2 linked regions of the Macaca fascicularis genome follow. The protein of the gene in region 1 interacts with the protein of each later gene in a biochemical or structural test. Links are inferred from orthologs where the notes say so. Each region holds a gene or a part of one and is shown in the gene's direction. Other genes may lie near its edges.

The links.
Region 2: the proteins of VDR (region 1) and HR form a complex in vitro, tested with the Homo sapiens proteins (2 studies listed by BioGRID and IntAct). The link is inferred for Macaca fascicularis from reciprocal best matches to the Homo sapiens genes VDR and HR.

Annotation. Positions count from the first base shown.
Region 1 is NC_088385.1:54,589,449-54,593,250, reverse strand, and holds part of VDR (vitamin D3 receptor), read left to right. Parts: intron 1-3,005; coding exon 3,006-3,157; intron 3,158-3,357; coding exon 3,358-3,474; intron 3,475-3,802.
Region 2 is NC_088382.1:25,200,360-25,204,860, reverse strand, and holds the start of HR (lysine-specific demethylase hairless), read left to right. Parts: upstream 1-1,434; 5' UTR 1,435-1,735; coding exon of another isoform or gene 1,736-1,840; 5' UTR 1,841-2,012; intron 2,013-3,229; 5' UTR 3,230-3,270; coding exon 3,271-3,876; intron 3,877-4,501. Other genes in the region: protein HRURF, read left to right, coding at 1,736-1,840. UniProt on the Homo sapiens protein: Histone demethylase that specifically demethylates both mono- and dimethylated 'Lys-9' of histone H3. May act as a transcription regulator controlling hair biology (via targeting of collagens), neural activity, and cell cycle.

The DNA of each region.
Region 1 (3,802 bases):
GTTCAAGACCAGCCTGGCCAACATGGTGAAACTCCATCTCTACTAAAAATACCAAAATTAGCCGGGTGTGGTGGCTCATGCCTGTAGTCCCAGCTCCTCCGCAGGCTGAGACAGGAGAATTGCCTGAACCCAGGAGGCAGAGGTTGCAGTGAGCCGAGATTACGCCACTGCACTCCAGCCTGGGCGACAGAGCAAGACTCTATCTCAAAAAAAAAAAAAAAAAAAAAAAAATTAAAATAAATAAAAACAAAAATAAGAAAAAAAAGACAGGAAGAAAATACACCGAAATGTAAAGTGTGGTTATGAGCAATTTTAATTTGTTTTTACATTTTTATGTATTTTCCAAAGATTTGATAATGAGTATGTTTTACTTGTATAATGAGTCAAATCAAAAATGGGGATGGTGTTCATTTTTGTTTTTTAAATGTGGATTGAGTATCTAGAGAAAAGTGACAAGGATGGTGAGATGTTTAGACATTGTGTCATTAGACTATCTGAAGGAGGACACAGTAGTTTTCCTTTTTAAAAAACTCTATTAGCTATGGTTCGAAGGAAGTCCCATGGCTAGTGAAGAAGTCTGGTTCTGGGTTTCTTGAGTACAAAACTGTAAACCACAAATGAGTGTACCATCACGTGGGTTGTAGCTCAATAGAAGAGGCCATTAATCTCGGTGCTAACAACTCCATGGCTGTGTCCAGAGGCCCTGAGCTCCCTGACCCTAGGAGAGTCCTACAGTGGTTATGTAGGAGCCACCTCTAAGAGCTCCTAAGAGGGGCCCTCCAACTCTAGCACTTTGTGATTTTTTTCAATATAGATCCTTTGCTGGCCATCCTGATCATGCAAGCCTTCTCATTCCCCACCATCTATCACCCATTGATACAACACTCTCATCAGTCAATATCGGCTTCCTGACTTTATATACAAACATGCAGCCATCAAGGGGATGACAGCCTATCTACAGGATATCCAGAAGGAAGTAGACAGTCAGGAAGAGAAAGAGAGTAAAAGCCAGAAGCAAGTTGATTTGTGAGCCCTGCCTTTTCCTCGCCGTTGTTCAGACAAGCCCAATCATGACTCAGAATAGTGGAACTAGTCATTGGCCTCTCAACTCATCAACGCATCTCTATTAATCCTCTTGTTGTGCTGAGGGCTCAATGATCATTGTGTGGGCAGCAGTAAGGTGATTAAGAGGAGGTGCTGGCCCCCAAGTAACTTACAAATAAGAGTAGAAAACAAGTGGCTGGGTGCAGTGGCTCACGCCATAATCCCAGCACTTTGGGAGACTGAGGTGGGCAGATCATCTGAGGTCAGGAGTTTGAGACCAGCCTGACTAACATGGCGAAACCCTGTCTCTACTAAAAATACAAAAATTGGCTAGGCATGGTGGTGGGTGCCTGTAATCCCAGCTACTCAGGAGGCTGAGGTAGGACAACTGCTTGAACCTGCGAGGTGGAGGGTGCAGTGAGCCAAGACTGCACCACTGCACTCCGGCCTGGGCAACAGAGCAAGACTCTGTCTTAAAAAAAAAAAAAAAAAAAAAAAAGTAGAAAACAAGCATGTAAAGAGCAGAACTGGAGGAGAAGGGCAAAATAAGAGCACCAGCAGTGTTCAATGCGTCACAAAGACATGGCCCTAACTGTGCTGAAGAGTCAGAGGGTGCGGGGCTCCAAGGGAAAACACAGTGGATTCAGGACCAGAAAAACAAAATGGAGCATTAGAAAGGTATTCCTGGCTGGAGCTGTAGTATGCTCAAAGGCGTGGTGATGACTGGGTACAGTGGCTCACACCTGTAACCCCAGTGCTTTGGGAGGTCATGATGAGAGGATCACATGAGGCCAGGAGTTTGAGACCAGCCTGGGCCACATAGTGAGACACCATCTCTACAAAAAAAAAAATTAAAAATTAGCTAGGTGTGGTGGTATGCACCTGTAGTCCCAGCTACTTAAGAGGCTGAGGCAGGAGGATTGCTCGAGCCCAGGAGTTTGAGGCTGCAGTGAGCCATAATCATTCTGTTGTACTCCAGCTTGTGTGACAGAACAGGACACTGTCTCTAAAAATAATAATAAAAGAAAATTAGCTGAGCATGGTGGTGCATGCTTGTAGTCTTAGCTATTTGGAAGGCTGAGATGGGAGACTCACTTGAGCCCAGGAGTTTGAGGCTATAACATGCTATTATCAAACACCGTACTCTAACCTCAGCAACAGAGTGAGATCCTGTCTCAAGAAAAACAAAAAAGGCACAGTGAGAACACACAGCATCTGAATGTGGAGTGGCATGATGCCGCTAGAATGGAAGGTTGGTGGAGTTTACCATGGGAAAGGGAGTTGGAATGAGAGGTTGGAGCCAAGTTAGGGAGTATGGGCCTGAACCTAGGGTGTTGAGAGTCAGTGAGGATTTCTGAGCACAAGAGGACATTGACCTGCAGCAGTGGTAAGAAAGATGAATGACAGACTGGGGAGACACAAGTCTGAGATTCCCGTAAGAGGCTATTGGAAAACACGCTGGAGCTCTGAACCAGAGCACTCCTGGTAGGAGTGGAAATAAGATCAGCAGCTCGAGAGACATCCTGGAGACAAAGCTGGCTGAATTTACTACTGAGAAGGACTGGAGGACAGGAGGAGGGAGAGGAGGAGAAAACTTGGGTGCTTTTGAAGATACTGTGGTCCTACCTTTTGCAGACCGCCGTATTCATGCCTCAATGCTGGGAGCTTCCCTGGGCTCCGTCTTCCTGTGCCTCACAGCTCTGGCTGCTTGGCCTCTGGGTTTTCCTTGTCTTAGTAACTGAGCTACTTCACTTCCGGCCTTGGCACATGATCACAGTGTTGAACTGTTCTCTTTCAAGGAACACTCTTGTCCCTTCCAGCCAGGCTGCAAGCTCCTCGATGAAAGACCCAGGGCACATGTTGGCGCCCAGCAGGTGTATACCTGTCAAAATGCTAAACTGATTTGTGTGTCTGGAAGGCCTTGACTGGTAACCTGACCTCCTTTCCTCCTTCCCCCGCAGAGACCTCACCTCTGAGGACCAGATCGTGCTGCTGAAGTCAAGTGCCATTGAGGTCATCATGTTACGCTCCAATGAATCCTTCACCATGGACGACATGTCCTGGACCTGTGGCAACCAGGACTACAAGTACCGCGTCAGTGACGTGACCAAAGGTATGCCTGGACTCCACCTCCACCTTTTCCAGCGCCCAGAGTCTGTGTCTACCCCTCCTGGGGTTTGGGCTCCAATCAGACACATGGGAGGGAGTTACGCACCAACAGGGAGAGAAGGGTGAGGGTCCGACCCATGGGGTTGGAGGTGGGTGGGCGGCTCCTCAGCTCTGCCCACAGTACCTGGCCATTGTCTCTCACAGCTGGACACAACCTGGAGCTGATTGAGCCCCTCATCAAGTTCCAGGTGGGACTGAAGAAGCTGAACTTGCATGAGGAGGAGCATGTTCTGCTCATGGCCATCTGCATCGTCTCCCCAGGTATGGGGCCAGGCTGGGAGGAGCTTGGGGACCTGGGGAGCAGGGAGCGTGAAGGATGAAGACCTGCTGAGGGCCAGCTGGGCAACCTGAAGGGAGATGTAGCAAAAGGAGAGGCAGAGAGGGAAATGCCTACTTTGCTGATTTGCAGAGCCCCAGTGGTGTGTGGATGCTGAGGTGCCCCTCACCGCCCTTGGCTCTGCCTTACAGAGTTTGCAGGCGATTCGTAGGGGGTATTCTGAGAAACTAGATAAGCAGGGTTCCTCGAGCCACAGACGGCCCTGCGCGTTCCCAATACTCAGGCTCCGCTCTTGTGTGAACTGGGCTCAAC
Region 2 (4,501 bases), on another chromosome or scaffold:
TCAGGGGAGCTGGGGAGGAAGGGAGTGTTACTCAGTCATGTAAACAACCTCTACCAGCCTGCCTTGCCACAGAACTGGCCTCTGGGGGGAGGCCAGGGGCAGGGTGAATCGATGCCAACACAGCCCAAGTCCGGCCCAGTGCCCGCTCCTTTAGGACCCTGCTCCCCAGGACCCCCACTATTCTCAATTGGTAGAAGGCTCTAGGCCTTGCTCATCCCTTAGGAGGAAGGCTTCGGGCTCTTCAGGGCTTCCCTCTGTGGGGATGGTGGTGTGACTTGGGACCAAGCTAGAGGCATCCAGAACCCATGGCTTCCATGGGATGGGAAAGAGGGAGTGCAGCTTCTGTCCCAGGCAGGCTGAGGATGGCTTCCGAAGGGAGCCAGGGTAGCTGAGGGTGGGAGGTGGGTGCCTGAGGGGAAGGGAAGCGCCCGTTGGGCGTGTGGGTTTCTGTGTGAGTCTGAATCTGTCTGTGTGTGTTTGAATCTGTCTGTTTGTGTCTGCACTGGAACCACCCCCGCAGTGGAGCCGGGATGCTTCCTCGGGTGGAGGGTGCCCTGCTTTTCCATTTCCTCTCCTCCTCTCTGTGCTCTCCCGGGAGCCACTCCCATGGGCGCCTCTCCAGCCCCTGGCCTGGAAGCACCAGGAACCCTGGGGATGGGGCAAACACTCACAGCCCGGGGTCTGGAGCCGGTGTGGGAGCTCATCTGGGCCCATGACCTCTCCAGACATTTGGCGAAATCAAGGCCCTTAGACCAGGGACAGACCCGAGCCCAGGCCCTCCCAGAGGTCCTAGGCCGCAACCCTTTGTGCCCTTGGGCTCTGGAAGGGGTTTGGGGTGGAAGATGGCAAAGAGCAGCTTGACCAGGTGAGGATGAGGCAGGGCAGACACAGGCCAGTGGGGCGTGCCATGTGCCAGAGCTGGAGATGACCAGGAGCCAGTGGCCCGGCAGGCACAGCCCGGCTGGCGTGGGCCAGAGCGCCCATCACTGACCCGTGAGAACTCGTCTGCCCCTGCCAGCTCTGGCACTGCCCCCTCCCAGCCACCCCGCCCTAGCACCCTGGGGGGCACCCCGCCCCACCGTGGCCTGGTCCGGCCCCTCCCGCCCTTTGCTCCAGTTCCCGGGCTTGGCACCTATAGTGGAGGTGCCGCCCGCCTGCCAGGCTCCGGGGCCGGGCCCACGGGAGGGTGGGGCGGCTGGGAAGCTGGCACGCTGCCCCGGGGGAGCCTCTCTCGGCAGGCGCCCGGGTGCGGCGGGGGGGAGGGGGAACAAAGGGCTCATTCTCCCCGTGCGCAGCCGGTGGCATCGCCGGGGCGTTGGCGGAAGCCCCCGGGGCCCGGGAGGGGGCAGGCCCAGGCGCGGCCGCCGAATCACGGGCTCCTGTTTCCCGCAGGGTGCTGGAGGAGGAAACCGGCGGAGCAGCTTCCCCACTCTCAGTTGCGCGTCTGGCGATGGCGATCAGAGGTCCTGCTGCGCTCTCCGCCGCGCTCTACCTCCATTAGCCGCGCTGCGCGGTACTGCGCCCTCGCCGGTGCCTCTCTCCTGGGTCCCAGGATCGGCACCCCCATCCAGGCACGACCCCCTCCCCCGGCCCCTCGGCCTTTCCCCCCACTCGGCCATCTCCGACCCGGGGCGCGTGTTCCCCCCGGCCCGGCGCCTTCTCTCCCTCCGGGGGCACCCGCTCCCTAGCCCCGGCCCGGCCCTCCCCGCGGCGCAGCACGGAGTCTCGGCGTCCCATGGCGCAACCCACGGCCTCGGCCCAGAAGCTGGTGCGGCCGATCCGCGCGGTGTGCCGCATCCTGCAGATCCCGGAGTCCGACCCCTCCAACCTGCGGCCCTAGAGCGCCCCCGCCGCCCCGGGGAAAGGAGAGCGCGAGCGCGCTGAGCAGAGCGGGAGAACGCATCCTCGCCCGCCGGCCGGGAGGCCCCGGAGCTGGCCCATGGGGAGCAGGCGCCCGGTGCCGGCCACGACGACCGCCACCGCCTGCGCCGCGACCGGCCGGTGAAGCCCAGGTAAGCACCAGGAGCGCGCCGCCTAGGGACACTCGTGGAGGGGGATTTCTGAGCCGAGCCTGCGGTGCCCGTACGGAGTGAATTCCCCGTGCCCCTCTGGGCTGGGCCACCCATTCTGACACCTGAAAGTTAGGATGCCCGACGCGGCCAGACCACGGCAGAGCCGTGGCTCCAGAAAACCTGGGCGCCCTGTGCCACTGCGCCGTCACCTCCTGCCTGGGGCTTCGTCGCGCTGGCCGAGGGGACCGCGCCAAGAGAGCGCTGCCGCTCTAGTGCCACCTGTCATACTGGTCCCTTGTACGCACGTTCAATTTTCCCTCCCTTGCCTCTCTCTGGGGCCCAGCCCGCTTTCCCCGCCTCCTTCCCTCTCCCCTCCCCGCCAAGCTGAAGTTTCCAGCGGCGGTGGCGGCTGCCCTGGCACTGCTGGCAGGGCTAGGGCAACTTGACCCATCCAGCTGAGGCTTCTTAATCCCCCTCCCCTGTGCCGGCGCGTTCTTCCCGCTGGGGGCCAGGGCGGGGTTCCTAGCCCCCTGCAGTTGTCCTGGGACTCTGCTTGAGAAGCTGAGAAACTGCAGGGCTCTGGGAAGAGGCTGACTCAGGGCCGCCCAGGTGTAGAGAGAGACACAGCCAGCGGCCCTGGCTGGCAGCTTTCCCCAGTGACTCCAGCCTGCCAGGCCTGCACTTCCCATGGCTACAAACCTGGCTGGGGCTGTAGGCTAGGGTTGGGCTAGCAGCACCCCCAAAACCACTGATTGCAGGATGAGAAGAATCCTCTGAGACGACCCAACCCTCAAGGGCACACTGAGGCCCAGAGGAGTGACAAGACTTGCCCAGGGCCATGCAGCATAGGACAGAGTCAGGCTCAGGATCCAGCCTTTCTCCTCGTTCAGGGCCTTCCACTTTCTGTCCTGCCTCATGGGTTGTGAGCAGATTCCTAGCTCCGTGAGGCCAGGACATGCCCTACTAGCCATGGCAGCCTCCGCTGAGGGGCACTGGCCTAGGTGGAATTTGGGGAAGGGATGATATCCCCATACTGGAGGAACAAGATGCGTCCGGCTGCATGTGGAGAGGCAGCACGGTGCCCAGTTGTGGGCTGGCACTTGCCTTACTGGTTTGAGCTGCCTCGGTGCTGCCAGGGCAGTGCCCACTCTGTGCCAGGCAGTAAGGTGCTTGGGGAATGTGCCCCAGAAGCTCATGCTTTGATGGTTATGCTCCAGGGACCCCCCCTCTGGGAGAGCCCCATGAGGGCAGGAGAGTGATGGAGAGTTCGCCCAGCTTCCTGAAGGGCACCTGGGAGAAGACGGCCCCAGAGAACGGCATCGTCAGACAGGAGCCCGGCAGCCCGCCTCGAGATGGCCTGCACCGTGGGCCGCTGTGCCTGGGAGAGCCTGCTCCCTTTTGGGGGGGCATCCCAAGCACCCCAGACTCCTGGCTTCCCCCTGGCTTCCCCCAGGGCCCCAAGGACACGCTCCCACTTGTGGAGGGCGAGGGCCCCCAGAATGGGGAGAGGAAGGTCAACTGGCTGGGCAGCAAAGAGGGACTGCGCTGGAAGGAGGCCATGCTTACCCATCCGCTGGCATTCTGCGGGCCAGCGTGCCCACCTCGCTGTGGCCCCCTGATGCCTGAGCATAGTGGTGGCCATCTCAAGAGTGACCCTGTGGCCTTCCGGCCCTGGCACTGCCCTTTCCTTCTGGAGACCAAGATCCTGGAGCGAGCTCCCTTCTGGGTGCCCACCTGCTTGCCACCCTACCTAGTGTCTGGCCTGCCCCCAGAGCGTCCATGTGACTGGCCCCTTGCCCCACACCCCTGGGTACACTCCGGGGGCCAGCCCAAAGTGCCCTCTGCCTTCAGCTTAGGCAGCAAGGTGAGTGCAGGGGCAGAGAGGGTACCTGTGGCTCTGGCCTTGCAAAGTGGCTCGGTGGTCCCCAAGCTGCCCTTCCACTGTGATGAAAAGAGAAGGCAGCACCGAGGTAGAGGGGTCTATCAGCTTGGAGCTGTCCCAGGCCCACAGTCAACCCCAAGCAAGCCCTTCCCTGAGCAGCTCCATCTCTCTAGGCCTCCCCTGCCCTCAGGTCATTGCAGCCACTGACTCATCCATTGTCTGCCTAGGATAAGGTCCTGGGAACTGTGGCCTTGGAATGTGTGGCTTGTCCTGGGAGGAGATGGGCGAGCAGACAAGGCCTCTCTATCTAAGAGTGGGATGTGCAGGGGACCCCATGGCCCATGTCTAGGGTACCTCCCCCATAGATGACTCCCACTCCCAGGGATGAGATTTTAGAACACTTAAAACTCAGTATGGCACAGGACACCAAACGGCCCAAACAGACCCTGGATGCCCTTTGGCTGTGCCAGGCATTCACCCTTTAGTTCTTAGACTTCCTTGTGAGGAAGTCTGAGAAATCCTGGGGGAGGAGGTGGGGGTTGCCAGGACAGTGTCGGAGGCACTCCAGAGACCTAGGGCAGTGCCATTGATTAATCAGAGTGTGAGG